4 linked regions of the Lytechinus pictus genome follow. The protein of the gene in region 2 purifies or fractionates together with the protein of the main gene of each other region. This does not show direct contact. Links are inferred from orthologs where the notes say so. Each region holds a gene or a part of one and is shown on either strand. Other genes may lie near its edges. The genes, in order: TATA element modulatory factor-like, serine/threonine-protein kinase PLK1-like, protein regulator of cytokinesis 1-like and RANBP2-like and GRIP domain-containing protein 8.

Region 1 (7,963 bases), on a different chromosome or scaffold from region 2:
CAACTACGACTCCCAGCCTGCAGCTGCAGATGAAGCTGTTGCGACTACAGCAGTGCTTAGACATTGGAATAGCTCAGATCTTGGAGGAACACTTCATCAGGTTAGTATTGAATGTTTGGAGTGGATCTATAGGCCTAAACATTCTAACATTAGTCTACAATCATTAGGAGTCTGTCTGTCGCGTCGTCTGAAACCCGGCGGGGGGGGGGGGGGAATTTAGGATGTTTTATATGATCACACTCATCATAGTCAGCTACAGCTGAGCCTACGTACGCACCAGCAGATTGGCTGGCTGGATCGAGCGAACCTGGCTGACCCTGATCTGTTTGTCATAAAATTTCGCTATTTTCTAGCATATTTTTCGGAAAGCTGGTAAGCTATATTTATCTTTATTATTCTAACCCTAACCCTAACGCACCCTTTCTACATAGGCACTGTAGTTAAGCGGAAGTTGTTGTTTGCTCCAACATTACAAGCCCAATGGCAGTCATCGGTCTATTGACAGAGGGGATGCCGCGGTGCCAAACGAAGTCTCAGCGGAGCATATCTCTGACAGAAATAGACCTATTTATTGGTTTAGATGCGCATATATTTTCATTCATAAACTGGCTTCCAATCGTAGCTGTGTGATGTCATGTAATATGCCAACCCCTAGCGGTGGATGTTATGTTTAAGCCTGAGTCGAATCGATTTTAAAATCGGTGTTCGATCGATGTCATCGAGCGCCGGTGCAGATTTTGCAAAATCGGTGCATTGAAAAAAAAAAAAAAAAAAACGTCAATCGGCCGATTCGTGTGGTTCACACAATCAATCATCAAAAATCAAAATAACAGTAATGTCCTACATGTACTTGACTACTACTTACTTGATTTATATTGCCCCCAAAATGAAACCGATTGTGTAATTATGATGCCTACCGTATATTCACCATTAATTTGAAATTTATTTCGATCATAGTTTGAGTCTTATACTCGTCTGCTCTTGCCGAGATAATTTATGCACGATGAATTCATGAATGGAAGTCGCCATTGATCGTGCATGCGCAGTACTGTGCTTTAATCAAACCAGAAAATGGCCGGAAAATTGGCGCGATCAACGTAAAATAAATCTTGCTTTCATGAACAATATTAATATCATGACCATAGAACACAATTTAATCGTAATAATTAACAATAATTCGCATATGATAATCATTAATATGAATTTAGAGCTTGATGTGAAACGTTTTAATTTCCTATCAATTTCCAATGACGGACATCACATGACGATCGACTTGAGTCGTGCACTTGTCTAAAAAAATAATTATCACGTCAGGATTGATTCTCGAACATTGTCAACATGCAGATACTCTTTTCAAGATCGTAATATCACCATATAATAACATTTTACATGACAAAACAGAGAAAATTGCGTTTGATATTTTTCCCCATCAATTTGAAGCTATTTTGTGCCCAACTTTGGGCTCTGATTTCATGAATGGAAAATATGTCATACGTCATCGAACGCGCATGCGCATTGTGCTTCTTTTCTCGGAGCTCGAAGACGTCGTCCAGAGATGGAATAAAAATAAAGATAATGCCAGTATAATACTATTAATTCTTCCATATGAACATAACATACTTGCTGACATCGTCATTATTTTTAATATGGCCATAAAAATCTTATTAAATAAAATAGTAATTATTTAACATCCAATAATAATTTATATGAATTTAGAGCTCGATCCGAGACATTTGTATTTATTTTGATCGCATGCTCTTGTGTCTGACTTTAAAATGAAGAATGGATTATCAGGATTAATTCTCGAACATCGTCATAACTCATATTCCACAATATTTCCTCACAATCGTTATATCAGCATTGAATACCAATTCAAATGACCATCCAGAGAAAATTACGTATTTATTCCCATCAATTTATTTGGAACTCATTTTGGATCCAACTAGCCCGCCAACTACATAATCTCAGGAAAGTTACAGCGCTCTCCTCTGTTCGCACTTGTTTGCTGGCGCTGGCAAGCACGCCTGTCGTTTCGGGGAGAGTGGGTGTATGGGGCTGCGGACGGGGCTGGTGTGTGCGAGTCTGGACTGCGAGTGCTAGTCGACCGAAAATCATTCGGATCGACTCTGTGTGATTCATGCAACGCACGCGTCTGTAACGTTGGCGAAGAACAATAGGAAACAAGATGGCGGCGTAAACATCGGGCAAGTCTCTTCCGTTTTTTCACAATATTTTTCTCATTTTTTTTATTAATTCCTGTTTAAAAATAACAACGAGAGCGTAGAAATGTCGGAAATGAAGTTTTATCCCATGTACATGATTTAGTTTTAGGGCTAGATCTAGTTTTAGAAGGAAAGTAGAAATCTCGGGGTTGAAAGTTTCAGGTTTAATTTGGCGTCCAGCATGTCCAGCTTCGTCATTGAGTGGGACAATCCCAATTTTTGGACCAGCGCCTTACTGCGCACAAACAAACGTTGAATTTGCAGTTAATGGACTGCTGACTTATTTCACGATATTGCCAAAGATAATTACCTGAGCCTGAGGTAACTTGCTGCCCTGGGACTGGAGATGAGTATCCTTCCCCTGACAAACTCGCCGAAGCCGAGCCCGAGGCAATACCTGAAGTTGACAGCGATGGCTGTCGGTCAGTTCCCGCGGAGCTCCGGGCAGGCTGAGTGCCACTGCCGGTGTCACCGCCTTCCTCATCCTGAATGTCGAGAACTTTGTCAATGGATTTTTGCGCCGTCGACAATGCTGTTTTAGCAAAAGATGAGAGACTAGCTTGGTTAAACCAGCTCATGTTTCATCCCCAAGCCCCTTACTTCATTAATTGGAGTAATTTCCTCTGTTTTCGATGACTTTCCTTTATTTTTCTCGCTGTCGACACGTAAACATTGATTTTCGTGTGAACAATCTATTATATAAAGGGTCAGCCCGTTTCGAAGATCGATGAAGATTGGAAAAATAAAACATATTCAGAATAGCTAAGTTCATGTAATACTTTACTAGCTTGTCCAGCAATTATTATATATCATATTATTTGTTAATTATTGGTTTATAAACGCACAAGGAATAAATGAAAGTTCTCTTAATCCGTTTACTTTCCCTCATTTATACGTTAATATAATGTCCCTCAATCTAATGGATTCATCTTATCAAATTGACATTTTTCAAACGGATCAATTCAAAAAATATTGACAAAGAGTTTAAATATATGTTATATTTTATTTTGTTACTTTATGATGAATTCAATGAATTTCAATTAATTTTCAGATTGATTTTAGAGTACACAAATATATTTAATATATGATTATATTGCACAAATGCAGTCAAATCGGTTACATAGTTTTAGGGATAAGCTTGATGCCAATTTGAAATAAATGAAAAACCGGTTTAGTTTCTGAGAAGTGGTTCGTTTCATCACAGCGAAAAATCATTACCGAGAGGGCTTTTATTGTGTCATTCAATTATTTTTAACAATTATTCACAAGAATCAACCGAAGTAATACTGAATTATGACCTCGAGTAAAGATAATGCGCTACCTCTGCCAATATCTCTTTAATTGCTCTCCTCTCGCCAACCGTCCCCAGTGGCGCAATAGGTTAGCGCGCTGTACTTATAGACAGTACCCAGCACCGTCTGGCTACAACTGTGGGCATGCGGAGGTTGTGAGTTCAAACCTCACCTGGGGAAATCGGTTTTCTTTTGCATTTTTTTCTCAGTTTCAAAAATTGCCCCAGATACTAATTACATATCTTAAATGATGAATTCAGTCTCCAAAGCGATATAACAGTGTAGTCGGGTAGGTGAATTATCGGATAGTCTATACCACTTGGTGTATAGACTTACTTATCGAGTTCTGGACCAACATATGAATATTCATGACTTGCGTCTTCGGATTGAGAGTACGCATGCGCAGTGGACTTGGCCTCGACCAGTACCGATCGTAAGCATTCACGTTGCTCAGAATGAATTTACCCCATCTCACTAGGAAGGCGATCATAGCGACCATAGCGATCTGTGTAAATCCCGCAAATCGTAGCAGAATCTTCCTCGAATTCTATTTTTAGCCTGCGAGACGATTGCACTGCAACTTCTCTGCGACCGACCTGCGCTGAAGGCGATGGTAATACGCTGAAAGTACGACGATGCACTTTCTTGCGACGATTCGAGGCAGATGTGATGCGCTGCTTCTGCGATCAAAGCGATCGTACAACGAGTCTCATACGCTAATTAGGACCTCGGTACGGTGGTGCTACGAATGGAGCGATTATGTTACGTTCATGATGGGCTCTTGAAACGATTTCAAGTAATCGGCATATTAATCGCGGCACATGACACATTTTTCAGTCGACTGCCAACCTCCGACCAACATGGATGTCCAGAATTTGGTTGGACTTATACATCTTAGCATTCTACAACAACATCAGTTAAAAGTTGAATGCGAGGACAGGAGAAGGAGGAGGCCAAAAAGATACAGGGTCCGATCCTGGCTGTCACCTAAGTCATAATATACAATATTTATTAAATTTTCATTCAAAAGATGTCGATGAGCCAAATAGTTAATATGAGGGATGCATCCAGAATTTCATAAAAGAGCATAAAAATCTTTGATATTCTGTTTATTTTTTTTTCCACAAAAGTTTGTCACTCAAAAATATTTGGTAAATTCCTTTCAAATTTGCTGACAAGAAGTAGTCTACTGATGTGAGAGCACTCATAAAAAAGGGAGGGGGGAGGAGGGGGGGGGGCACAATGCCAGAATCTCCCTAAAGATTGCCTTTCCCAATCAATACATTAGTGATCGAATCATTAACAAATTTGATATTGTCTACTGTCACTGTGGTTAGAATTCAATCTAGTTTTAAAACATATAGTCAACTTATATATTTCTGCAGAGGTAACCCATTTCGTCATCAAGACATGTGAGCGTCTTTTTTTCTCTTTCCAGTTGGCTCAGCAGTAAGATTTTCATCCTCCTCCTGTACCCCCTCCTCCTCCTCTTCCTCCTCTACCTCCTCCTCCTCCTCTACCACCACCATAACCCCTTGTTCTTCCTCTTCGACCGCCGGCCTAAGAGGGGTAGCTTTGGCAGCTTTCCCTATTTTGGTCCTTTTTCTGGGAGGTATGTTTGAAAACGTCGTGGTGTCGCCTCGTAATCTGCTGCAAATATGATAATCTGCCACCATCGGCACGGCATTTTATAGCAGCGCGGACGGTCGTTGCGCAATCGCTGCCCAGTCATCAGCGGCGCAGCAAAAGCGCAACGCGAATGCCTGTAGCGGACTGAGAACGTGTGCCACATGCCACCCAAAGAAGAAAGCGTCGCGGTTGAAGCTGTGTGAAGCGTGTCGAGCGCAAGGCAGTCGCCTTGTAAACGGAAGCAGCGTAGCAGAATTGTCTTGGGAACGGGCCTGAAAACCACGGGCGATCGGTGCCGCTTTTAATGCGCTTATACTACGCTTTATGCGTTGGGGCTCCGTTACAGCTACGAATATGTCGTTTGTAATACGCTCATGACTCGATTGTGATGCGCTTTAGCACCTCCGTGATCTCGCTACGTAAGTTTTGAACATGTTCAAAATTTTGTGGCGTCCAGGAAGATGGTGGCGATCCTTGCCGCTTCAGAAAAGATGAAGGTACGACGGATAAGATTGAAAAGATCAAGCCACGATTAAGCTACGTTATTCCACGCTTTGTCGCTTTTTGACGATCGCAGTGGAATCGCCATCTAGTGAGATGGGGGTATAGTTACATAGGTCTTATAGGCTTAGATCTATATATATATATATATATATCCAATTCTTAAACACTTAATAAACTAGCTGCCATTAATGGCAAGACATGTGCAAGGGTAGGGCTAGCTTAGGCTAGCGCATTAACTTTACCTCAAATATGGACCTGTCTAATTAATGCCTAGTACTAATCAGTGTTGTAGTGCCTTGATGCACGGCCTTGGCCTTAAGGCGCCTTAATGCCTAGCTACTTATTATTTATTTATTTATTTATTTATTTTGTTTTATTTATTTTATACTGCAGGGTAGGCCTGTTCAGTTCTTAAAACTGCTTTACAAAGGCGCCCTGCAGTTTAAAATACATGTCAATATAACTATGAACAACTACAACAACAACAAACAACATCAAAAATACAAAATACAAAATATCTAACATCAGAAACAATTAACACCAAAATATAGAGTGGGAAGTGACAATTTAAACATACATAGCATTGTAAATCAATGGAATATTGCATTAAGTCTTATTTATTAAAGGAAACCTTCAATAACAAGCTTTGCTTTCCAGAAGGTTCCTATTTCATTTCAAAATGTTATATTATATTTTGCTTTACTTTGTAACTTTGTCGAAATTTTGGAATGAATAAATTCGTTGTCAATCAATCAATCAAATCAATATCATTTCGCTCTTTATCAATTCGTATGAAAGGCTTTGCATATTTTTTTAAAAACTAACAAGGAGGTACAAACTTGTAAATTTGAAGGAAGTGCATTAAATAATTTGGGTCCGACATATGCGAAAGATTTTCTTTTATGTTCAATTCTAGCTTTGGGAAGCTGAAGGGGGCACCGTAAAGAATACCGTGTCCTGTATTTCACGGGCCGTTTACATACTAAAGGTTTTAAATAATTTGGAACTAAATCATTCATCATTTTATATACAAGAACACAATTCTGATATTTTATACGCTGATCTACTGATTGCCACTTCAGTGACTGCAACAAAGAAATTTGTGATGTATTATAATCTTTTTTCAAAAGCATTCTGGCATATTTATTTTGAAGTTTTTGTATCTTATCTAAATGTATTTTTGCACTGCTTCCCCAAGATGTAATACAGTAATCAATGTAAGGTAAAATCATACACTCTTAAAAATGTTGGGCAACATACGGTCCACACAACAATTGGTTAAAACTTTATCCAATTCTGGGTAGTTTTACACCAATAATGTGTGCTTTGGGTGAAAACTACACAGTATTGGTGTAAAACTACCCAGAATTGGATAAAGTTTTAACCAATTGTTGTGTGGACCGTATGTTGCCCAACATTTTTAAGAGTGTAGAAAAGTACAGCTTCTTCATGATATCAAAGGACAGTAAGTGCTTAATCCGCCTTACACAACCTATTGCCCGAGATATTTTACAAACGATATTAGTAACATAGGCGGATCCAGCTTTTGGCGAAGGGGGGGGGGGCGCACTGCCGAGCGGCACACATATTTTTGCACTTCACCGGTGCCATAAAAGAAAATGTTAAAAAAGGGGTAAAGTCTGACCCTGTCAAATGCTCTTTTCAAAATGTAGGATTTCCAGTCATTTTGCATGACCACACGCAGATAATATTTCCGGGGGGGGGGGGGCAAGACTCGAAAATTTGGTGCACATCTCACATTTGCACATTTTTCATAGTTTTCATGAAATGTTAAGGAAAAAAAAATGTTTTTCACAACAGCAGATCGCGAATGTGCCCCCCTCCCCTCCTTCCCCCTTGCTGCGTACGACCATTCCCTGAAGTCCACTTAAACATATCTCATTATAACAGAAATATACATCAATTTAAACATATAATCTTTCTAAAACATATATAGCAGGGGCCGCGGAACGGTTTTCAAAGTGGGGGGGCTGAGCCAAAAGTGGGGGGGGGGGGCTGACCATGCTAAAAATCACAATAATATGGTTATTTTTACGTTTTTGTACACGGTTTTTGAAAAAAGTGGGGGGGCTGAAGCCCCCCCAGCCCCCCCGGTTCCGCGGCCCCTGTATAGAGAGAGATTGAAAAACTTATTAAAGAAAGAAACAAGCAAAAAGTAACAGAAATTATGCATGTTATGTGCGATTTCAAAATCTCGTGTATTAACCCTTTTATTGCGATGAGGCCAATACTTTTTTATATTAATAGAGATACAAGTTTTTTTAAAATATATATGTATCTATATATATACACAGG
Region 2 (8,095 bases):
CTTGAAAATTCATTATGCTTCTCTTTGTTTACAAAGGACATTGTGCACCTTTCCTGTAGAAAAAATTATGACACTGATGGATTTCCATAGAGTTACGATTGATTAGATCAATCGTAACTCTTTGTAAGACGGGGCCCTGCTGTATACAGGGTGCAGGAATGCACACATACCATAGTCAGTGTTAAATACAGTACAGGTACATGCAACTCCAATTTTACCCCCAAATTCCTAAATGCTGTCTATTATTTCTCTCTTTTTTTTGAAAGAGAAATAAAGACAGTATATTAGGTATAAATGCTAAGTTATATCTGAATCTGACAAATAACATGAAGTTTATACAAACCAGGGAATGACTTGCTACCAAATTTGAAGGGAATAACCTGCTAACCATATAGCATTTTTTCTTTTTCCTTTTTTTCCCCTATTTTTTCCATGGTTGTTTGTGTCGAATTGTATTCAATTTTATGTACATTTCAAAAATATTGTCGATTCAATAAACACAAAATCCAAAAAAAAAAAAAAAAAGCTACTTCAGCAAGAATCAGCATTTACCGGTAATCCCTGTGTAAAAAAAAAGTGTAACATGATATATAGTACCTTGTCTTTTTGGTGAGGTTTGACAAGAAGGGCTTTCGAGACGACCTTGCCAGCGTAGATCTGTTTGGAGGCATCATCAGTCAGCTCATAACACTTAGCGAAACCACCCTGTATAGACACAAAGAAAAAAATAATGTAATGGCTCAGTACAGCCACAGGTGCATTTGAAAGGGGTAACAGCTATCTTAGCCTACACTGTACATGTACATCTTGTAGTAAAAAAAATCAATGAAATGTCATTTTCTTAAAAGAATTGAAAATGGTTTAAATTAGACAGGGGTGTGAGTGGTCACAAATAAAAAGATCTGAAAAAAGCTGAAGAGTATTGAAAAAGTCTGAAATAGAAAGAGCTCCCATACTTTTTGTACAGAGGAAGGCAAAAAATAAGCTGAAATTAAGCTGAAAATCAAAAAAAAAAAAAAAAATCTAAAATCAGATAAAAATCTGAACTCTCACACCCCTGATTAGAGTCCTTTAGTATATCAACATACAAATCATTTAACACCTGCTTCTGAAAGAAAAAAAAAAAAAAGAAGTTGAAGTCATCATGAACCGTTAAAAAAATTGAAATTTATGTATTTTGTATTGGGGCAGCTGAGATCATATGTCACAAATAAAAAAAAAATATAATGACTTTCTTAATCTTTGATGGATTTTCCTCAGAACACATCTATTATTTTTTTTGGGGTATTTTTAGTAGGGTATGGATTGGGGCATTGGGCAAGTTAACATCTTTACACTGTGGCCCACATTGACAATGAGGGAGAAATATAAATCTAGGAACTCAACAGTTGTAAAATATCCCCCCCCCCTTATGTTCCACCATGGACCTGTGGTTCTAAAGACCTATAATTCCAAGGCCTACTCCGCATGCGGTGGGGGGAATTTCGGCAAATTACATGTAACTATTGTAAGCCAAAATGTATAACTATAAAAGAACATTTAGGTATGTGTTGTTTAATGTGTTGTACTTGGGCTATGGACAGGGGATTTATTTTGAAAATATCAGCTGAACGACTGATGACATGAGTTACAAAAGAGAAGTTTTTTGCCTATAAAATCCACTAGTTAATGGAAGTGGCCAGGTGGGTTGTTTGTCTTGTTAGATACATGTGATGTAGATCACTTTTAAAAAGGGAAGTTCACCCTGACAATCATTTGAAAAAAAGAAATATTGGTGAGGCTTTCATGAAAATCAACCAAAGCATTCTTTACAATTTTTTATTTAAAGTTTCAATTTTGTGATGGAATAAGTCACAGAGGAGCAGCTACTCCTGGCACAAGTTTGAAGATCGGAGGGGGTCGGGTGACAAATTGTCTGAAAATTTGTTGATTTGATATGAATTGACCCATAATATCCATATGCTGTACTCTCATAGTCATACCTCATAGTACCCGAGAGGGGGTCGATAGAGTGAATAAAATCTTAATTGATCGAAATCTAACATGCTAATTATGTAGTGTGATGTATAAGTCATGATCATGGTCTCATATTTGGGCATTGATCACTTTTTTTTTTAGTTTAATCTGAAAATGACTTTCCACATTTTTTTGCAAGAAAATCATAATTTGTTCCAATTCTAATATTTTTTTGCAAAAAAACAGTATGATTCTATTTCTAGATCTTGTTTTGTTATTTCAATGAAAACAGACCTTCTAATACTGAACATTCTAACAAAGTTAGTCAAGATAGAAAGAATTACAGTACCATCCGGGCGGATGATCCGGCTGATTCCTTGCTTGAACAATTGTTTCAACTTTCAAGAAATATCGTAATGAAGATAAATGAACACAAAATTATGAAGAAAAAAATCACGTCTTCACGAAACAGGTGAGAAACTGAGAATGAGATCCAGCTCAGCCCCGTTTTGGAGGCGGAGGCGAGGTTGAGTTGTTCCAAATTCCAATCCCCCTAACAGTAACAAGTTTAATTATAAACTTGTCTTGGCCTGGTTTAAAAAAGTATATCAACCAAAATTTTTGTGGAGTTTTCTAAAATAAATGTTAATTTTTGCCTCATTTCACTCGGGTTAACTAACTTTTTATTTCGTTTAACCTTGCGGTACGCAGATATGTGCCCCCTCTCTTTCTTCTCTTTTAACTGATACCTCCACTATTTTGATAATCCATTAAATTTCAACACAATTTCCTGACTCCATTCAAATGACGCAAAACCTCACACTCCACTGGCACTGTGGCTGTGCACAGTGCAGTGCAGCTGCAGGTCACTTTACTATTCACACACACACAGCTCAACAGGCAACACGACTCAACACTAACTGAAAATGAAAAAAAAAAAGCTCACGAGTTACCTTGCCCAAAAATCTTCCTTTTGTGTATGTTTTTCCAGTTGATGGATCTGTAACAACATCAGGAACTTCCTTTACTCTGAGATCTTCCTTATGTCTTGACGCCATCTTAATATTTTAAGCCAAAATATTTCAAAATTTGTCCAAAAAACTGCAGACAATTTCAATGCGTCGATCAAGTCAGCTGCGATCGCCTGTTTCTGACGATCTTTTGTGCATTTAAAAACAGCGGGCCGGTATTCAATGAATAGTGGTCGTTCATTGGCCGATGAAGATCTCCGCTTTCGCAAATACTCTGCTCTGATTGGACGAAGGTACGGACATTTAAACCGAGTTGTTCATAAATTTAAATATGGTACAAGGCATTTAGGGTCATTTTCTAAATATTTATTTATGTATATTTCTTTGTAAAGTATAAAGGAATTTCATAATTACGATTGATAAATATATCTGTTCTTATTTGATACCATTTATAATAAAAAACAATTAAAAAAACAAATAATAATTATTTTTCTATTATTCAGACAGTCTGATAAAGAAGCTAGATTTATTTACATATTTTTAGTTGATCCACGTGCACCGACAAGATGGCGATGCTTGCGGAGCCGCGACGGCGACAGAAATTGTCTTTTGACCCGAGAAATAAAGCTTGGAGTGAAGGTATGAAACATGTATGACATTGAATAATATGAGTATCAGGTATTCTGATGTTCTCCTTGTTCTGTTGCCCCCAAGAAGAGTAGTAAATGTCAGCGCGGTCAGAGTCTGACGTAGTCGTAGTGTGTGGTTGTGGAGTAGGATTGGATGCCAGTGGCAGTGCGTGAGTGCAGTGTCTCTGTGTGTATCGTAGATGGACATGTACAGACACAGTAATCAGTAGTGTCAGTATGGCAGTGTATCCTATAGACAGCTGGCAGCCGTCTGTTTCGAGGAGTTTTTTAACTTTTTTTATTTTTTTTATTTCTCCTCGTACACAGACGGCTCGCTAACGTCCCGTTAAAGACAGCACGTTAGCCATTCTCTGATTGGTCGGTTAAGGACGTATATCCTGTGCATGTACGTACGGACTATACACACTAAAGGACGTTATTCGCAAGATGGTAATTGAAACGATCTTCACAGGTTCGCTATCACCATATTCAGTTTCCTAATTTTAATATCACACAACTGCAAATGAAAGATTCTCCAAGGAATTCTGAATTGGACAACAGGACGAATGGACGATTATCTAGCGAAGAAAAACAACTTTTTGACCCATACTGTGACGCGCGCGCTCACGCTCAACCAATCAATCAATGGTCAGACTATAGACTTCGGTACCAGTCGTAATAAAAACATATTTCATGCACGTCGCCGAAGATACAATTTTTTGTGTATCACTATCAGACTCGTGGCTCGTTGCACTAGAGCTAACCGATTTTGTTTTCTAGTTCTACGTTAGCGGATGATATTTACAATATAACGACAGTCTTCTTATTCGAGTGGTGGTTTTTTTTTTGTATTAAGAAGTTTTTATTTGTCAACAACTTCAATTCATACATGTCATATACAAAATAAAATACATACATCAAATACAATATATCTTTACAAATTAATATATGAATACATTGTAAACTCATATACACTTTAAATTTTCTCTTTTTTCCTTTAGTGTTACAATAAAACCTAATAAAACTCAACGTACTCGATTTTTTTTCTTGTGTCAAAATATTCACAACGTAACAGATTTTCCAAATACACAAAACCAATCATTAATACAACCTAGTCGAATTAAAGCCATTAACAAGGATTTTCCATAACCCCCCTCCCCACACCTTGGCCTCATTCCTCATATATTTCATATCCTATAACAACATCAGCCTCAGGCCCTACCCTCTACCCCTCCCCATAACCCCCCTCCCATGCCCTTCGTCGTCACAACCTTCCCGTTCTACTCGTGTGGGGGCGGAAAAAACGTTTTCCTTCTCTGAATGGTAAGAATGAAAAAAAAAATATATATGTACATATATATATTAATGAAAAATACTCTCATGCCTAAGCATTCATTGAAAAAATACTTTATTCATTATCGTTATTATATAATTTATACACACGTTATTTATTCTTATTTTATTTTTAACTTATTTATCATTTATTCATTTTATACTTTTAATTAATTAATTTATTTTATTCATTTATTTTCATTTTGTTTTTGTTTTTGGCACATTTAGCTCTCCCTAAACTCCTCCCAACATTCCCATTTTCTTAAAGTATACATCCAAAGAATCAAAAGTATTTTATAATGACTTTATGTGGTCATCATTGTAAAGGGGAAGTATTACTAATCAGATATATAACTTCACTTTTCAAAATAGTGATCAGAGATTGCAGAAATCAGCTCTCAAAAATGATTTATTTTCATGCCATATTTCTGCCTTCCACCGGTCCTCTTGCGAGCTCCAGCTGAGTGACGTCACACAATGAGCAGTGTGCAGCTGAGCTGACAGCAGCCCATTGGAGACGATCTTTCCAATCAGCGTTTTTTGCTCTTAGAATTGTTTATTCCTCTTAAGATTGGTCTTGTTATATAGATAAAAGTTTGAATTTACTGAACAGTGAAAAAAAGTGCACATTTAACGTATTTTGGTAACCGATATTTAGCTTAGAATTTTTTTTTTTTTCAAGAAATATATGTGAATAAACAAAGCATATTTTCACGTAGAAATCACACTTGCGTCACATTAATGTTATAGTCAATATAAAGCATAGACATTCTTCTTTATGACTGAACAAAAATTATGAAATTTCATTAAGTAGCAAAGTCAGGAACCACAAAAAAAAACACGGCAATATCCATCGCGAAATGACTGAAATTGCAGTTGAATTGCCGAAGCATTATTAGGAAACAGCGGCGAGCGGACTTTCTTTTATATATCTTAAAAATGCCTTCCTGTTAGGGAGATGGTCTGTGGCCAAATGCGTTGGCCATTGTTTTGTCATGTGCGAGGACCCTGGTTCGAAACTCGTTTTTTTTTTCTGGGTATTTTTTTTTTATTCCTTCCCTGTCCCTACCCATTTTTTTTTTCTCTTTTTATTTTCTTGTGAAATTCTATTCAGACCTGTATTTATCATATCTTGCTTCTTAATTGCTGCTTTTGATTTTCAAGTTCTTGATTAGATTATTTCTACTCTTATTTGGGATGGGAGGGGTAGAGTTAAAAGTCAAGTCCACATCAACTAAAAATTATTTGAATAGAGTAATTTCCCTTGTTGTTTTTACTCAAAACAGTCATATACACAAAACAATGATATGCAAATTAGAGTTGTCACTCACATCACATTCGTTTCTATTTTTGTGGCATTTTGTTTTTTATTCTTTGCAGATTTGACGATAGAAACTCTTCATCTGATCACAATAGGTTATATTTACGGAACTGTTAAAATAGTAATTATATAAATTTGAATCAAAGTTTTTATGAAATTTCCTGCAATATCTTGTTATTTTTCTTTAAATTCAAATGAATTTTTGATTGCGTGGACTTCTCCTTTACTCTTAATGTAGGGAATGCATAGCAAAATTTATCCAGAAACAAAATTGTCTTAGAATATGCAAATCAGTAATTGGACACATGTTCACTTTTCTTTCATCCAGGCCACTTCCTCACATCCACCAGGCTTTCAGTCTTATAACAAAAATGATGAACCATCACACAACATTCACAGTGCTTCACAATAAATATTTCACTTCTGTTCATACATGCAATAAATATTGTGGAAAACAAATAAAAGGCGTACCCATATTCAAATACCGTTTAAAAGGACAAATATATTATACCTTTCGAGAAAAATCAGCACGTTAAATATCTGATAACAAAACATAATTATGGGGCACTGCAAGAAACTTATGTTCAATTGCAAATCAAGCGTAAGTCTTAAATTCAAATTCAAGCGTAAGGGAAATAATAAGATGGCAAATATAGCGATCTTCAACGCTTATATATAAGCGTCGAAATTTGTAGCCATCTCCTTGTATTAGTCTATAATATACGACGTGTCAAATTGTAGCGAACTAGTTCGCTATTTCCAGATCTCCTCTATATATATATATATATATATACGAGGGGGAATTGTAGCGAACTAGTTCGCTATTTTCCAGATCTCCTCTATATACAAACGACGGGAAATTGTAGCGAACTAGTTCGCTATTTTTCGGATCTCCTCGATATATACACGAGGGGAATTGTAGCGAACTAGTTCGCTATTTTCCAGATCTCCTCTATATACATACTACGGGATTTGTAGCGAACTAGTTCGCTATTTTTCGGATCTCCTCGATATGTACACGAGGGGGAATTGTAGCGAACTAGTTCGCTATTTTTTTATTTTTCCAGATCTCCTCTATATACATACGACGGGATTTGTAGCGAACTATATATGAGGGGGCATTGTAGCGAACTAGTTCGCTATTTTTTTGGATCTCCTCTATATATACACCAGGGGGGAATTGTAGCAAACTACATGTAGTTCGCTATTTTTCGGATCTCCTCTACATGTATACGACAGGAAATTGTTGCAAACTTGTTCGCCATTTCTCATCTCCTCTCTAAAATATAAACATGGCAAACTGTAGCGAACTAGATGGCAATTTTTCTGATCTCTTCATATACACGAGGGGGAAATTGTAGCGAACTAGTTGTCATTTTTTCCAAAGCTTACATTATTGTGAAGGCTTCAAAGTGAAAATCTGCAGGTTTTGGCTGTATATATTGATGCCATATTGTCAAATTGTAGCAGACTAGTTCGCTATTTTCCAGATCTCCTCTATATCCATACGACGGGCTTTGTAGCGAACTAGTTCGCTACTTTTCGGATCTCCTCTATAAAATTATATACACGAGGGGGAATTGTAGCGAACTCGTTCGCTACAATTCCGTCTCTTGTATATATAAAGATCAGAAAAATAGCGAACTAGTTCGCTACTTTTCGGATCTCCTCTATAAAATTATATACACGAGGGGGAATTGTAGCGAACTAGTTCGCTACAATTCCGTCTCTTGTATATATAAAGATTAGAAAAATAGCGAACTAGTTCACTACAATTCCTCCTCGTGTATAAAATTTTATAAAGAAGATCCGAAAAATAGCGAACTAGTTCGCTACAATTTTCCGTCGTATATATAAAGAGGAGATCCGAAAAATAGCGAACTAGT
Region 3 (7,867 bases), on a different chromosome or scaffold from region 2:
TTCAACCGTCTGCAGGCCCTCCAGGGAACCCAGTCTATCTGATTTCTCCTTGCTCAGCTGCTCCACCTGGAGTCTCAATGCTTTCTCCAGCTGCAGGATGGAGATCCCGCTCTCGGGCTGAAGGAGAGAAACCAAGATTAACAAAAGTGACAAAAAAACAATCTTGGTAATAAAAATCGATTTACTGGTAGTGTTAGGAAGTCTCAAAGGCTATGTCCATTCTTATATGACATTGAAAATTAAAGACAAAAAAGAATAAGTGCACAACAATGAAAAAAAAAATTACTTAGGAATTGATTGTTCAATGTTTATTACATCTTTTCAATTTCAGTTCCATTATTTTAATCAGTGATCTGAATACATGTAACATGGAAGACAATTTAGTCGATTATGTCACTCATTTACCTTGAATAATGTACGAACAATGTTAGACTTCTCAAAGGAAGAGTAACATTTTCATTACACTATCTCATTGTGATAAAATGAAGATTTTGTTGAATGATCATATCATGAAAATGAAATTAATAAAAAAGAATCATAAAAAAGAATCATACCACTTTCAAATCAATCTAGCAAATAAAACTAAAATCAGACTCACATTTGTGTTGCTAACTTGCTATACCATTTCATCAGTTAATAAATATTTTTTACCTCATATTGCTGAAGTGCCAATTCTATACAAAGCGTGTGGACCTTCTCTGTTGATGATGCCACACTCTTCATGAGTCTTTGCCTGAGGGATTCCTCCTCTGTCACCATCTCTGATAGCAGGTTACGGATGTGATGCAGAACAACATTCTGGCGTTCTACCCTCTGGTCCTCACAAATACCGATCTCATTCCAGATATCTCTCAGTTTGTCTAGGGCGTGCTCTAAACACTGGCCTATCTCCATCTTCATGCTCTCCCTATGTTAGAAAAGAATAGGGAAAATAAAAAAAAAGAGGAGAGGAAGAAGGAAAGAGGAAAAGGGGAGAAGAGGAAGGATTTTGTGTTGGAACAACATAAGCAACAGCAACAAGCATTCTGGGCGATTTCAAGTTCGATATTAAACTTTAGGTGTTGGTGTCAAGCGACAAAATATGAGCTATTGTTACATGCATGAGCTGGGCAACTGTATTCATGTATATTGACTACCGGTATTTGAAGTCCTATACTTATCTGACATATTTTCAAAGTTCAAACAATGCATGAAATAATGTTTTCAAAGTGAAATAGCAATCTTATCAAGACAAAATAGCCCATCAGGAAATATAGTAACTACAAAAACTCATATTTATGTTAAACACATCATGGTTTCAAATGTCTGGCTTGCCGATCTGCCAAATGATCATGCAACTGCTTTCCATGAAAAAACCCAAGATGCTAGCATAATATGAACATCACCTTATTTTTCTTGTGGTTCCAAAATAACTTTATTGCCTAGCATTTTGTGAAAAGAAGATAAGTTTTCAATAATCATTTTGTCAAAATGAGCAGAATACTTTTTCAAGTTTTATTTTATTCCTGCATGGTTTCGCATCGCAGTTTGTCCTGCTTGTTTACAAGTTCATTTAATGTTTAACATTTTTATTTAGATCTAATTGCTATTTTTTTTCTCCATTGTTATTTATTGTTAAATTATTATTGAATTTGTTGTTCATTTAAAGTTTATTGTTTGTATCTCATGTATTATCTAGAAGTTCCAACTTTTACAATTTTGTCCATCAAATTGAATAGGATGAAATTTATCAAATTTGAACAGAATTTGTACTTAGAGGAACCCTTTAGATAATTTTTAATTTCTTATTTGATAAAAACATTTATACAATCAGCTTATCACCTTTCTGAAAAATGTGCTGGGATGGGAAATAGCGAATTTTGATAGCAAACAGATCGGGATCAGCCAGGTTCTGCTTCGATCGCCGTCAGCTACAGCTGAGCGTGTGGACGTGCCAGCAGATTGGCTGGCAGATTCATTATAATCATACGCTCAGCTGTAGCTGTGCTGACTGCGATCAAAGAAGAACCTGGCTGATCCTGATGATCTGTTTGTCAGGTGGTCGAGACTCGATATGTGGTGGTCTCACTATATACCTACCTGGGATTTCCGCCCATCCCATGTCATGTGTACAGGGACTCAATGACAATGGCCATATGTTTATAAATATATTAAGTTTGGATAAAACAGGGAAGTGAAGTTGCGCGACAGTCGAAGTAAGTCACTGTTTTTTCCCTTTTAAGTTTATTTTCTATTTTGCCCTTTTTGGTACAGTTCTTTTTAATTATTTACGGTAGGATGGGGGGTTGGGTGTCCGGACACGTAACAGAAATGAAGCCTTGTTTTTATCTCAAGAATAAACCAAAAATATAGGTTGAATAGTTTTTTTTCACCATCAATATTTGTTCTTTATAATATTTTCTAATATTCTGTGCTAAAAAGAATTAAAGACATTGCTTGTAAGCTTTTCAAAATTGAGAGTAAAAGTCATGTGTCCGGACACCCAACCCGTCCGGACACACAACCACTGGGTAGTATAGGTTATATATTTTTATGAAATATTTTAAACTTTAATTAAAGACAAAAATCGATGAGCCCCGTCTGCCCGTCGGGGGGATTTTGCATTTTTATGTTAACCCCCTAATGGTGGCTGCACGATAGCGAGCCGTCTGTGTACGAGGTCGAGGACAAATTTACAAAAAATAAAAATGTTAAAAAACTCCTCGAAATAGACGGCTGCCAGCTGTCTAACGTTACACTACTACAGTCTAGGCAATTCGCAACACAGTCACAGACACAGTGCACAACGCAATGGCATGCATGCACACACTCGCACTGTCACTCACGGCACTGCACACAACGTCAACACTGGAAAAAAATAAACACTCCAAGTCCAATTAAGTTTTGGCCGATCAATTTGTAATATAAATAGATAAATAAATCATACCTCCGTTTTGCTTCCATATTTGATAAATATTTCAATGTGTATCACAGTTTATGACGTTTATAAATCAGCTGTTTCACAATCAATACACACTTCCAGTTCCATGTAGATTCGCGACGTGCTTTAAATTTTGAAAAGCTCGCAAACAAGAAGCCCGTCTATTGGTCAAAATGAAAAATTGACACAGTTAGTTCACGAGATGGCGCTAGACTCCAAACGATGTCTGTCACGATCTGTCATCGAATTTGAAATGGGCCTCATTGATGTAAACTACTTATCAGAAAGAAATCAAACCCCGGATCACTAGCGTACCTACGGGGGGGGCAGGGGGGGCACTCTGCCCCCCCTGACGAGATTTTGAAGACCTTTTTTTTTCTTTTTTTTTTTTTTTGCTTGTCAAATTTTTTCTGGTACGAAAATCTTTATTTTGTATTGATGACCCCTTTTTTTTTTTTTTTTTTTTTTTTTTTTTTTTTTTTTTTTGCTTGTCAAATTTTTTCTGGTACGAAAATCTTTATTTTGTATTGATGACCCCTTTTTTTTTTTTTTTTTTTTTTTTTTTTTTTGCTTGTCAAATTTTTGGGCGGCCAATTTTACCCCCCCTGTGAAAAATTCTAGGTACGCCACTGCCCCGGATCAAACCCCAATCCAACCCCCATTCTTGAACAACAATTTTAGCATGATTTGGAAATTTCTGATAAACTGATGAAAGTATAAAAAATAACAATTTTTATGAGAACAAAAGCGAGGTTTAATATTATTTATAGATGACATTATTAATATTGGCCATGGTCCAACGGGTCTATCTATCTTAATTATTATTTTGAGACCCTCCGGTATATAATGCGATTTATTTTACATTTATGTTTTATTTCTCATATTTTGGATATTTTTATTGGAGGAGGGGGCAAAGTGGCTTAAATATGACATCATGATTTTTTTGTTGAGATGTAGGGGTATTATTAATTTTTATTATAGAATTACATTTACTCTCATTTTTATCTTATTATTTCTTCTCTTTTCTTTGCCTTTTTTCCTCTTATTTTTCCTCTTTTTTCATCTCTTACTCACTGTGGCGCGTAAAGTAACTGTTTCGTAACAATAAAACAAATAACAGCAACAACAAACAACTTTTGTCTATATACATGTATACACAAGTGTACGTGTCGAGCTGACAAAGTAAAATTTCATATCTCAAATGATAATTATCCGGTCACTTTACCAAACATAATTTTATTAGTGGTGTTTTCACAGTTTGCTGTACAAAATTGATTTGATGATGGTGATGATGTTTAACAGCATTTGCATATACCATATAGTGCCATTTATCTGTAAAAAAAAAAAAAAAAAAAAAAAAACTTCAGAGGCGCTGGCTCCCAAATATTCACAAACTTTGCGGAGCAAAAAAAAGGGGAAAGAAAGAAAAAGAAAAGAGAAAGAAGGGAAAAGAGAGGAGAAAAAAAAGAAATGAAAAAAAAAGAGGAGGAAGGCGAGTAAATAAAATAATGTGAGGGGGAAACTTGAAAAAAAAAAAAAAAATCTTTCATTGTCACTATATAAAATTTTCGCTCGCGCTTCGCGTTGTCATTGCATGCTCGATGAGACACACGGTACATACCTTGCTCAATACTATAGGCTGGTATGGAGTTTAAAATATCAAGTTTTGAAGTCAATATATAAAACATATTTCAGCTCGGACATCGACCTTTCATTTTTTTTTTACAAATTGATTTTCAAAAAGTGCTCTGTAAAATGTCCGTTTTATTGTCTGAGTATCAACTTTTTCAGCTCGCGCTGTGCGCTAGCACTATTTGGTTTGCCAAGTACCTATTCACTTCATGTATTCCATGAAGTTATAAAAAATAGCCCTTTTAAGGTTTGATTGTCAAAACCAGCTAGCGCTGCGTGCTCGCATTTTGATTGGTGCATGCGTATATTGTATACATCTGTAGTAATTTTATAACAAACTATACTTAAAATCCTATTTTCATGAGAGTTTTTCAAAAATTTCGGCTCGCGATTTGCGCTCGCATTAATTGTTAAAAATATATTAAACCATGCATCATGTTCATAATTACAAAAGTGCTTAAAATGTCCAGTTTTTAGGCCTTAATGTCATCAGATTTCGCGCTTTCATTGGGCTTATTAGATCAAGGAATAAGATAATAACATTTTCATTAATTCATAATTAAATTGTCCCTTTTTCAGAAAGAAATATCGGATATATCAAATATTTTCATGATAAAAAATGTATTCAAAATGCCCAGATTCTAGGTCTAAATCTACAACACGCGAACGCATGTTTATTGAGATACGCAGCTGGTTCTTTATTTAAAACATGCTTAAATTACCCAGTTTCATATCAAAATATCAAAAAAAATCCTGCTCACGCTTCGCACGCGCATTATTAATGAGGGAAGATCATTACCCAATTAACACATCCTTTTCATGATTCATAAAACATGAATAGAGTGGCCCGTTTTTAGGTCCAAATCTCATTTTTTTCCGCTCGCGCTTCGCGCTCGCAATGTTTAGTTATATACCTATCCTGTTTACGACTGCCAAAAGTGCTTAGAATGTCCGTTCTTTAGGTCGAATGTCAACAAAATTCAGCTCGCGCTTCGCGCTCGCATTATTTGATTGTTGAAATATGCATCGTCTTCATGGCTAACTGCAAATAGTCCTTTTTCGATCAGGCTCGCAGTAATTATATACATATCTTGTTCAGAATCACAAACATTGTCCAGAATGTTCAATTTTCAGGACAAAATACATGAAATTGCCAAAAAAAATCATATTAGATATATTTATGTAGTTTTATAAGAATATAGCTAAGAGGTGACTATTAGGACTACCCCCTTTAAAGAAACAAATTAAAATCAACTTTGAGCGGCTGATCGGGGAAAATGTGGGTGAATTTTTTTGTGGTCAATTGTGGACCTAATTACTTACCTAAAGGGCATCCTTGCGAGATGCTGCGAGCGCGAATCACGAGCTTAAACTTTTGGAAATTTTATGTAAAACATCCGAGCAGTTTGTGTAATCATGAAAAAAGGATGTGAATCTAACTAAAGAATTTAATAAACTGACCAGAAAAGGAACTTTTTAAAAACTGCATTAAGGACGTTCCACAGTTATGTTTGTGCGCATTATGATCTGCGCATAGTTTACACTCTGCGCGCTGACGTCACAATGGATGAACAGGTGATTAATTAGCTGCGGGTATGAGCTGATTTTTCTCATCTTCTGCACTTTAACTGCAGATCCGATGCGTTATTTCATGAAGATAAAAAATTGAATTATTCCATGGACCATTCAAAAAAATATTCTCTACAATTTCAAAATACTTTACTCTGCAGGGCTGCCAAGAATCACGAATATTACCCCGAGTTTGAATAAATGGTAGAGTGGTTTTGATTTTTTCTTCACATAGATACTATGCTATCGATAGTGTTAAATGGATGTCAATTGGAATGTGTAAATGAATATAAATGTTTAGGAGTTATCATAGATAACAATCTCGACTTTAAAAAACACGTTGACAGCATATCTTTAATTGTAAAACAAAAACTAGGAACTATTCGCCGCTGTAAACAGTATTTTGATAAAGCACAATTGAATAAGCTGTATTGGGCTTTTGTAATGCCCCATATAATGTATTGCTGTACCGTCTGGTCGGAAAGATCTGAAATTAATCACAGTAAGTTAGAGAGATTACATAAGAGGGCAGCATACATGGTATCTAACTTCTCTTGGGAAACTCCATCTGAACAAATTTTCAAAATATTATCCTGGCCCAAAATACGCAATGTCTTTTTTAGAGCATCTCGCTTAATGGTTCATAAATGTTTACACGAAGCTGCTCCCCAGGTGCTTTGTGATAAGTTTATTTATATAGAGAAAATATCCTCCCGAACAACTAGAAGCACAAATAAGATGATAATCAGGGTGCCATATGCTCGTACAACCTTTTATCAGAAATCATTTTTTGTCACAGGCCCATTACATTGGAATAAACTACCCGAACACCTCCGATTCATAGAAAACATTAAACAGTTCAAACGGGAAATGGCTAAATGGGAAAAAACCTTTAATATGTAATAGGGACTAATGGTGGAATCTATTTTATTCTTTCTCCTCATTTTGTACATATTTTATCTCTTTTCATGTGTATATAATGTTTTCGTTTAGTTTTAGGTAACATCTGTACAGTATCATATTTTATTTGTTCTGTTATTTTCCATAGTTAATTATGCTTATTTCATTTCATTTTTTTTTTCAATATTAGTATTTATGCTCTATTCTTTGTTTATAATTGAATATGTTACCATGTTTTATATTTGTGTTTGTTCACGAAGGGCCTCAACGAAAACCAGCTTGTTGCTGATTGAGCTACCCTTCTTTTAAATATTTGAAATAAATAAAAAAAAAAAAAAAATAAAAGCATTCGGCGCATTTTTGGTGTTTTAAAAAGCACATTTGCTCTGATAAAAATGCTGATAGTTTAAAAACAAGCACATGAACCCCTATTTTTTAATGTTTGTACCTCTAAGGTATACCTTCCTCTACAACTCTGCAAATTTTGGTGAAAATGACATGGATTTTGAATAAAGTGCAGCATTTATTGTACGTTTGTAGTTTGTTACTGAAATTTTACATTTTTTAGATTGGGATTTTGTTATCTTTTACGCCATTTTTAAGAACTGACAGTGCTGTTAAACTTAAATTTGCAAACAAATAGCACTATAAATAGATTATCCATTCTAACGATACAATTATTAACTCTCTTGCGAAATTTGATGACTTTTTCATGTATTTTGACTGAGTAATAGAGGTTTAAACTCATTGTAGTAATCTTGTGCGGTCTAAAAATGCCAAATTCTTTTGAATGCGCAATTCTTAAAAACGTCAATTTGGGTGAACTTTGAAGCTCTATAGAAAAAA
Region 4 (7,782 bases), on a different chromosome or scaffold from region 2:
GGCTGTTCCAGCATATTTGATGGGCTCACAATGAGGCTCAATATCTACGATTCACAAAACTGTTTGAATTTTCAAATTCCGATATCTAGAAGTCGAGTTATTGTCATCTTTGTGATGAAAAAACAGGCCTTTTTGTGGACAAAAGAAGATTGCGAAATCTTATTATTCTCTTTGTTTTGGGCATGGCACATTTATAATACATAGCTTATGGGGAATTGTACAAGCTTTTTATTTAAATCTTAAAGTACTCAGATTGATTTGACATATTGGCATATGATTTCTTTGGTTCAAGGGCAACTACCCCTGGACGATAACCCCCCACCCCCCCCACCCTCGGACAATTTCCCTCCCCCCACCCCCACCCACCCTGGACAATTACCCCCCCCCCCCGGACAACTACACTTTACCCCTATCCAAAAATCTACACCTAACCTAACCCTATTTCGGGGGTAATTGCCCTGTGGTAGGTTTGTGCACAGGGTAAACATGACTTGATATTGATTTTCTTTGCTTGAACATTAGAAATTAAGTTTTCAATGAATATAATTTGTAATCAAAGAAAGAGAATTAAAATAATAATCTTAGGATTTCTAGAAAAAAATAAAAACAGATTGATTTCAATTGTCTATTATCTCATTATTGTCTTGTTATTATGGTCTCAATAAAATTGTTGATATTATTATTGTCTCATCATCGTTTCATTATTGTCCCAATTAGTATTATAATTATAATAATTATTATTATAATTATTTTTGTTTCATTAATATTATTTTCTAAATAATTATTACAATTATAATTACTATCATAGTAATTATTGTTTAATTATTTCATAATAATAATTATTATTGAAATAATTATTAGTCTCAATAATTATAAGGCCTATAATTATAATTATTATTTTTATGATTATAATTATAATTATAATAATTTTTATAATAATAATTATTGATGACTTATCAATATTACTGTCTCAGTAATTATTACAAGTACAATTACTTTCATTATAATTATTATCATTATAATTATTTTATAATTATTGTAATAATAGTTATTTGTCTCAATAATTATAAGGCCTTTAATTATAATTATGATTATTTTTATAATCATAATAATTTTTATAATAATAATTATTGATGACCTTTCAATATTACTGTCTCAGTAATTATTACAATTATAATTACTTTCATTATAATTGTTATCATAATTATTTTATAATAATTAGTATTATTGTAATAATAGTTATTATTGTCTCATTAATTATAAGGCCTATAATTATAATTACTATAATTATAATTGTTTCTACAATTATATTTATTTTAATTATAATGATTATTATTATAATGATTATTATTGATATCTCATTAATATTATTGTCTCAGTAATTATTACAATTCAAAGTACATCATTATAATTGTTATTACAATTATTTTATTATAATAATGATTACTGTAATAATTATTATTGTCAATAAATACTAGAATTGATGTCTCAATAATTATTACAATTATAATTATTATCATTATAATTATAATTGTTATTATTATAATCATAATAATTATTATAATTGTCTCAATGTTTATTGTCTCATATTATTAATGTCTCATCATCACTGTTAATTGCCTCATTATTGTCTTCTCTTACTTTTTCATAATATCTTCAAATTAATAATTAACACCATAACAAAGGTCCATAAATCAGATATCAAATTCATGAAACACATCTCATGTATGTAAACCTATTTCTAAATTAAATTCATGCAAGGAGCTTTCTGTGCCATTCAAAAATACGACTTTCATTAACAATACCATATTCTAGACATTCAGACGCATTCCAACAAAAAATCACATATCAAACAAAATTCTTGAAGTTTACTTGCAGTTTTGCTCTTAATACTTATTTCACACGAATTCTACAAAATTATTTTCAAAATAACAATTTGATTTTCATAATTAACAGAGCTCAAATCGTAATTTAAAAAAATATACAACGGCTGAAACATACTGTGTCTGAATACCAAGACTAATCTCAGGCCCAACGCAGTGGGGATGACGTCACTCACAGCTGTTCGTATACGCTCAAAACAACCCTGCTCGATCGGCCGAGTCAGATTCACAAACACCTCATGACACTCAAAACTGAAGCTCAATTTGATTAGAATTTCACAAAATGTTCTCAAATATACAATTTTATTACTGACCGAGTTTACAAGGGATCCGATGATTACAAGGTGATTTCAAGCAAAGAAAAATAAATACCTGAATATTAGGTCCTTCCCTCGCATGAAGGTAAGTTAGACTCCGTCTTGTATATTTCCGATGTTTACCGAAGATGTACGAAGCAACCGCGGGAATTTTTGACCAATCAAAATCAGCGGAATAAAGGAAGAAACTGACTCTGTCTTTTCGAGCAATGCCGAATGCAACTCCAGCGCTCGGCCAAAGTGCCGAGCGGAGCGAACTGTGTGTGTTAGATAGGCGCTCGCCATTCACTGCAATGCAAAAATCTACGTCTAGCGCTGTGTCCGCGTGGTCGCCCGCCCGACTGAAGTGCCTAGTACCAGAAAGACAGAGTCAGAGAGGAAATGAAATTGGCTTCATATCGTTTGGTTTCATATCCAAACTTCAAAGCTTATCTTATTTTAAATAGGTAGGCCCTATCTATTTCAAATTTTTAGAAAAAAATTAATAAACTTATTGCAAGTGCCGTGCCAGTGGTTATCCTGTGCACGGCGGCGGTAATGTACCCGTGCCGTGGGTGGATCTTTCTCAGACTCAGATGTAACTGGCATCTTGCACACAAACATGAAAATACATGAATGGGACTACCATTTTCAATTACAATACAAAATCACGTTATGATGAAATAACGCGAATACCCTCTTACCTCTTGTGAATTTTTTGCTCTTTTCTTTACAGATTCGGCAAATTCGTCAGCCTCATGTTTGCTGCGATATGTTCGAGACATATCTGTTGATTAGATGCGACAATAAAACGATATAATCGCTGTAAAATTTCACATTTGAAAAGAAACCAAACGGCGGATGTGACCTTTTCAAACCGGTGCGCTTCAATCTTAAATGTTATGGTATCTTTAAGAATTAATTCAAATCAGACGGTTAATTCTGCGAGTAGCTGCCGAAACTTCATAATTCACCGTGAGATGAAAGGCCCAGGGGAGGGGATCAGTGGCGTAGCTAGGATTTTTCCCAGGGGGGGGGGGGCACTGGGGGGTCCTTGCTTTTTCAGGGGGGCACCATTTTTTCCGTTGTGTGTGTATGTGTCACAAGGGCGGATCCGACTTTGGCCAATAGGGGACGGGGCCCGAAATTATCTTCACCTATATTTCCCCCGATCAGTCACTTAGTTTTATTTTTATAAAAGAACATAAACATGAAATAATCTCATAAGCCTTATAAAAAGTGCAAGCGCGAAGCGCGAGCGATTTTTTTTGGTGTTACTTTCATGTATTTCGTCCTGAAAATGATTCTGGGCAATGTTATGTGTGATCCGTGAACAAGATTCGTATGTAACTAGATGGTTACTGCGATCGAACGCCAAGCGCGAGCAGAAATTTTTATTAACTGTTCTAGCATTATCGAAAAGGGACCTGTTAAGGACTGCTTACAGTTACCCACGAAGACGGTATATATTTCAATAATGCGAGCGCGAAGCGCGAGCAAATTTTTTTGACATTCCGACATAAAAAGTGGTCATTCTAAGCACTTTTTGTATTAATAAATGGGATAGGTATGTAACTAAACAATTGATGCGAGCACGAAGCGCGAGAGGAAGAAAAATTAGATTTTAGACCTAAAAGCGGGACACTCTATTCATATTTTGTAAATCATAAATAGGATGTAGTTAATTGGGTATCATTATTTAATGCGATCGTGAAGCGTGAGCATACAATTATTGATATTCTGATGTGAAACTGGATAATTTAAGTACATTTAATATAAAGAACATGCAGGCTATCGCACATGATTTAGATTTAGACCTAGAATCTGGGCAGTCTGAATACATTTTGTTTAATGGAACATTATGGAATACACGTAGACAATAGGAACTTGGCAAATCAAACAATTTGACCACGCAGCGTGAGCTAAAAAATGCTGATATGTAGACTAAAACAGGGACATTTTACAGCTAGAGCACTTAAATTTGTTCATGAAAAAAAATTGATGAAAGCTCGATGTCCGAGCTAAAATATATTTTGTACATGTATATTGACTTCAAAACTTGCTCCATATCAGCCTATTGAGCAAGATATGAATCTCATCGAACAGGCAATTCTGGCGCGAAGCGTAAGCAAAAGTTTTATATAGTAACATGAAAGATTTTTTTTTTTTTTTGCAAGTCTTCCCTTCACATTATTTCATTCACTCGTCTTCCTCCTTTTTATTTTCCTTTTCTTTTTTTCTTCTGTCTTTCTTCTTCTTTTCCTTTTTTCTTTTCTTCTTTCTCCCCCTTTTTTTTGCTCTGCCAATTTTTTCAGGGGGGGCACCTGGGGGGCACACCAAATCTCAGGGGGGGGGGCACGTGCCCCCCCAGGCCCCCCGTAGCTACGCCACTGGAGGGGATCGAGTGGCACACCTCTGTGGAGAGGGCAGGGCCCTAGACAATGGCGGCGGAAGCCCCAAAAATTAGGGGGGACCAGCACATTTTTTGACAAGCAAACAAAAAAGAAGGTTATCAACCAAAATTTTAGGGGGGGGGACCAACAACAAAATTTGACAAACAAAAAAAAAAAAAAAAAAAAGGTTATCAACTAAAATTTTAGGGGGGACATGTCCCTCCCGCCCCCCCCCCCGCTTCCGCCGCCTATGGCCCTAAAAACGATTTTTTTTTTTTTAAACAGGGGGTGCAGGATAAGCTTTGACTAGTTCCAAAAGGGGTTCTCATTATAAAATGAAGGCCATTTGGAATGATTTTTAATTTTTTTTTACTGGGGTGCTGGTGTGTAAATCATTTTATAAGCAAAAAAAAAAAGGTTTTGAATACATAATGGAGAGCAAATTGGTCCCGAGATTAGAGAAGCAGGGAAAAAAAGAAGAACAGAAAAGGAATTCACCACAAAAGAGAGGTCAAATTGGTCCCGAGAAATTTCAAAAGCAATTAAAGAAGAAAAAAAAAGGTTTCAATAAAAAATGAAAGTCATTTAGGTGACATTTCTCAATTTTTACACAGCTTCCAGAACACTTTGGGGCCAAGCCTATGGAAAATAATACACGCAGCACCCCTGAGGAAGTTATGTTTTAGCGGCATCCCCAGCACCCCCGCTTCCAAGGGCCATGCCATTTTGCATGGTCGATCACGAGAAATTTCGCTACAAAATGAAGGTGAGCTCAGCAGGTCTAGTGATCCAGGAAAAGTTTGACAAGCAAAAAAGAAAAAAAATCATTACAAAATAGAGGTGATTTTGATTACATAGCTGCATGCCTAACAAATTTCCAGGGGTCACTGCTCCCTATAACACGTACGAAGCACTCCCGGCACCGTTCGCTCAGTTCCAGAGAGGGCCATGGAAGATCGAGGGGGTGAGGTTCGGGAACTTATCCTTTCTTCATATTTTCACGTCATGGTGCCGTGGCCGAGTGGTCTCAGGCTCCTGGTTATACATAGAAAGTCCGGGGTTCGATCCCCGGCCGCGGCACCTATGCCCGTGAGCAAGGCATTTAATGTACAATGCTCTTCTATCCTGCTTTCAAATAAATAGAAATGCTATATGCATTGTTGGTAACTTGGTGTGCACTTGTTTAAAAAAATATCTTTACATTATACTTATAGTACCAACTACTACTCAATGACCCAGCTCATCACCCATGCCCCCCCCCCCCCGGAATAAAGAGAGAGAAAAACCTACTCAACTAGGCTTATATTTTATTTTTATAATAGGCTAAAATAGGCACCCATCAAACCACTACTGGATACAACAATACCAAGTTAAACAAGCTAAAGGAGGCATTGGCGGCGGAAGCCAAACAATTTAGGGGGGACCACCAAAAATTTTTGACAAGCAAAAAAAAAAAAGTTATATATCAACCAAAATTTTAGGGGGGACCGACAAAAAATTTTGACAAGCAAAAAAAAAAAAAAAAAAAATCATCAACGAAAAATTTAGGGAGGGGGGGGGGGACCGCCCCCACCTCAAATTTAGGGGGGGGGGTACACGTCCCCCCACTTCCGCCGCCTATGAAAGGAGGTACTGCCGGATTTTATGAAAATAACTAACAAAACAAATTCCAATTGATATTAGGTAGCAATGACATGGATCAGTGGCGGACCCTGACCCGGAGGAGACAAAGTATTGGAGGGGCACTGTATTGTTTGTGAACAATGCTGTGCCCCTCCAATGCTTTGTCTCCTCCGGGTCAGGGTCCGCCACTGACATGGATATTAGCAAAATATGTGTTAAAGGAATAAGTCATATAAGTGGAGAAACTAAGGATGCTTGAAAGAAAAAAGATGATACTATGCTTATTGTATATGGGTGTATTAATGTTTAGGTATATTATGTATGTGTGTGTATATTTATGCATTGATATGTATCTCGCATTTAACATTTCATCGAAGATTGGTATTTTTTGTTTCTTTTTTTTCTTTGTTGTTGTTTTTTGTTTTGCTATGAATACTTTGTTACTATGTTATGCTTATGTTGTATTAATTTTTTTCTTATGTTTCTTTGTTTTTGATGATGATCCTTCAATGTCAGGATTTTATATCAATAAACTTTTTTTGTATAACATACGCGGGAGGGGGGGGGGGGTATTGAATGAGGGTGCTCGTCAAAATATCCAAAAAGGGAGTCTAATTATAACATGGCTGGAAAGAAAATAAAACATATTCGATCAGAGATTAGTATGAAAGTTGCACATAAACTGCGACATTTTGCATGGTTGTGAAAGACTTTTCTTATTTGTCTGAAAATCTTGTACGGATAAAATGCTCCTCGTGAGAGGAGATTTTTTTGTTTATCTATTTATTATTATTTTTTTGGGAGAGGGGATGTCACTAACATTTAGACAGAAATTCGGGCCCCCTAAATTTTTCACCCCATGCACCCATGGCCAATCAAAGATACACTGCTGGCGAATGTGTGTGTGTGCATATGTGTGGGTGTGTTTGAGTGTGTTTGCAATGCGGACATGTGTGTTTTAAATAACTATGTATTTTGTCTCATTATCATTATCATCCCCCCCCAAAAAAAAAATACATCCACTGGACTGCCATGCAGAGTAAAAAAAAGGTTGACTGAATTACCGTAGTCGATTTTGAATATTTAACCTCATCCAATAAATTCTTTAAAAATTAGAGAAAAACACAAGATTAAGAGAATATAACCAGGACAATCAATAAGACGAGCATTCTTAATTCAACTTAAATCTAACTGAATCTAACTTCGCTAAAATGCCAATTTCAATATTGATATCCATGTAAAAATGTTCGGGATAAGAAAATCTTTATGTGTTTCCTAACAACTTTCACTTCCACTTTTAAACTAACTAGGATCTACAAACTTTAATTCTATAATGATGTTTACTCGTTATCATGGCCCTGGGAAGCGGGGGTGCTGCGTCCATCGGCAGCACCCTTGAACTCTCAAAGGTGTGAAAAAAGGGATATATGTAACAAAAATCACCTTCATCTTTTATACATTTTGAAGTGAAAACCTTCTTTGCTTTTCAAATTTCTCGGGACCAAAATTACCTCTACTTTGCAGTGAAAACTTTTTTTTCTGCTTTTCAAATTTATATCAGCTCCTCGTCAAAATAAAAATCAGTCC

The links.
Region 1: the proteins of serine/threonine-protein kinase PLK1-like (region 2) and TATA element modulatory factor-like purify together in Homo sapiens (affinity purification with mass spectrometry; 5 studies listed by BioGRID and IntAct, counting the BioPlex papers as one, with this or other methods). This does not show direct contact. The link is inferred for Lytechinus pictus from reciprocal best matches to the Homo sapiens genes PLK1 and TMF1.
Region 3: the proteins of serine/threonine-protein kinase PLK1-like (region 2) and protein regulator of cytokinesis 1-like purify together in Homo sapiens (affinity purification with western blotting; 4 studies listed by BioGRID and IntAct, with this or other methods). This does not show direct contact. The link is inferred for Lytechinus pictus from reciprocal best matches to the Homo sapiens genes PLK1 and PRC1.
Region 4: the proteins of serine/threonine-protein kinase PLK1-like (region 2) and RANBP2-like and GRIP domain-containing protein 8 purify together in Homo sapiens (affinity purification with mass spectrometry; 3 studies listed by BioGRID and IntAct, with this or other methods). This does not show direct contact. The link is inferred for Lytechinus pictus from reciprocal best matches to the Homo sapiens genes PLK1 and RANBP2.

Annotation. Positions count from the first base shown.
Region 1 is NC_087254.1:37,089,711-37,097,673, forward strand, and holds the start of TATA element modulatory factor-like, read right to left. Parts: upstream 3,155-7,963; 5' UTR 2,801-3,154; coding exon 2,533-2,800; intron 1-2,532. UniProt on the Homo sapiens protein: Potential coactivator of the androgen receptor. Mediates STAT3 degradation. May play critical roles in two RAB6-dependent retrograde transport processes: one from endosomes to the Golgi and the other from the Golgi to the ER.
Region 2 is NC_087250.1:7,529,108-7,537,202, reverse strand, and holds the start of serine/threonine-protein kinase PLK1-like, read right to left. Parts: upstream 3,122-8,095; 5' UTR 3,015-3,121; coding exon 2,910-3,014; intron 706-2,909; coding exon 598-705; intron 1-597. UniProt on the Homo sapiens protein: Serine/threonine-protein kinase that performs several important functions throughout M phase of the cell cycle, including the regulation of centrosome maturation and spindle assembly, the removal of cohesins from chromosome arms, the inactivation of anaphase-promoting complex/cyclosome (APC/C) inhibitors, and the regulation of mitotic exit and cytokinesis.
Region 3 is NC_087256.1:19,309,574-19,317,440, forward strand, and holds the start of protein regulator of cytokinesis 1-like, read right to left. Parts: upstream 3,109-7,867; 5' UTR 2,944-3,108; coding exon 2,927-2,943; intron 908-2,926; coding exon 652-907; intron 118-651; coding exon 1-117. UniProt on the Homo sapiens protein: Key regulator of cytokinesis that cross-links antiparrallel microtubules at an average distance of 35 nM. Essential for controlling the spatiotemporal formation of the midzone and successful cytokinesis.
Region 4 is NC_087260.1:25,314,692-25,322,473, reverse strand, and holds the start of RANBP2-like and GRIP domain-containing protein 8, read right to left. Parts: upstream 3,087-7,782; 5' UTR 2,965-3,086; coding exon 2,884-2,964; intron 1-2,883. UniProt on the Homo sapiens protein: E3 SUMO-protein ligase which facilitates SUMO1 and SUMO2 conjugation by UBE2I. Involved in transport factor (Ran-GTP, karyopherin)-mediated protein import via the F-G repeat-containing domain which acts as a docking site for substrates.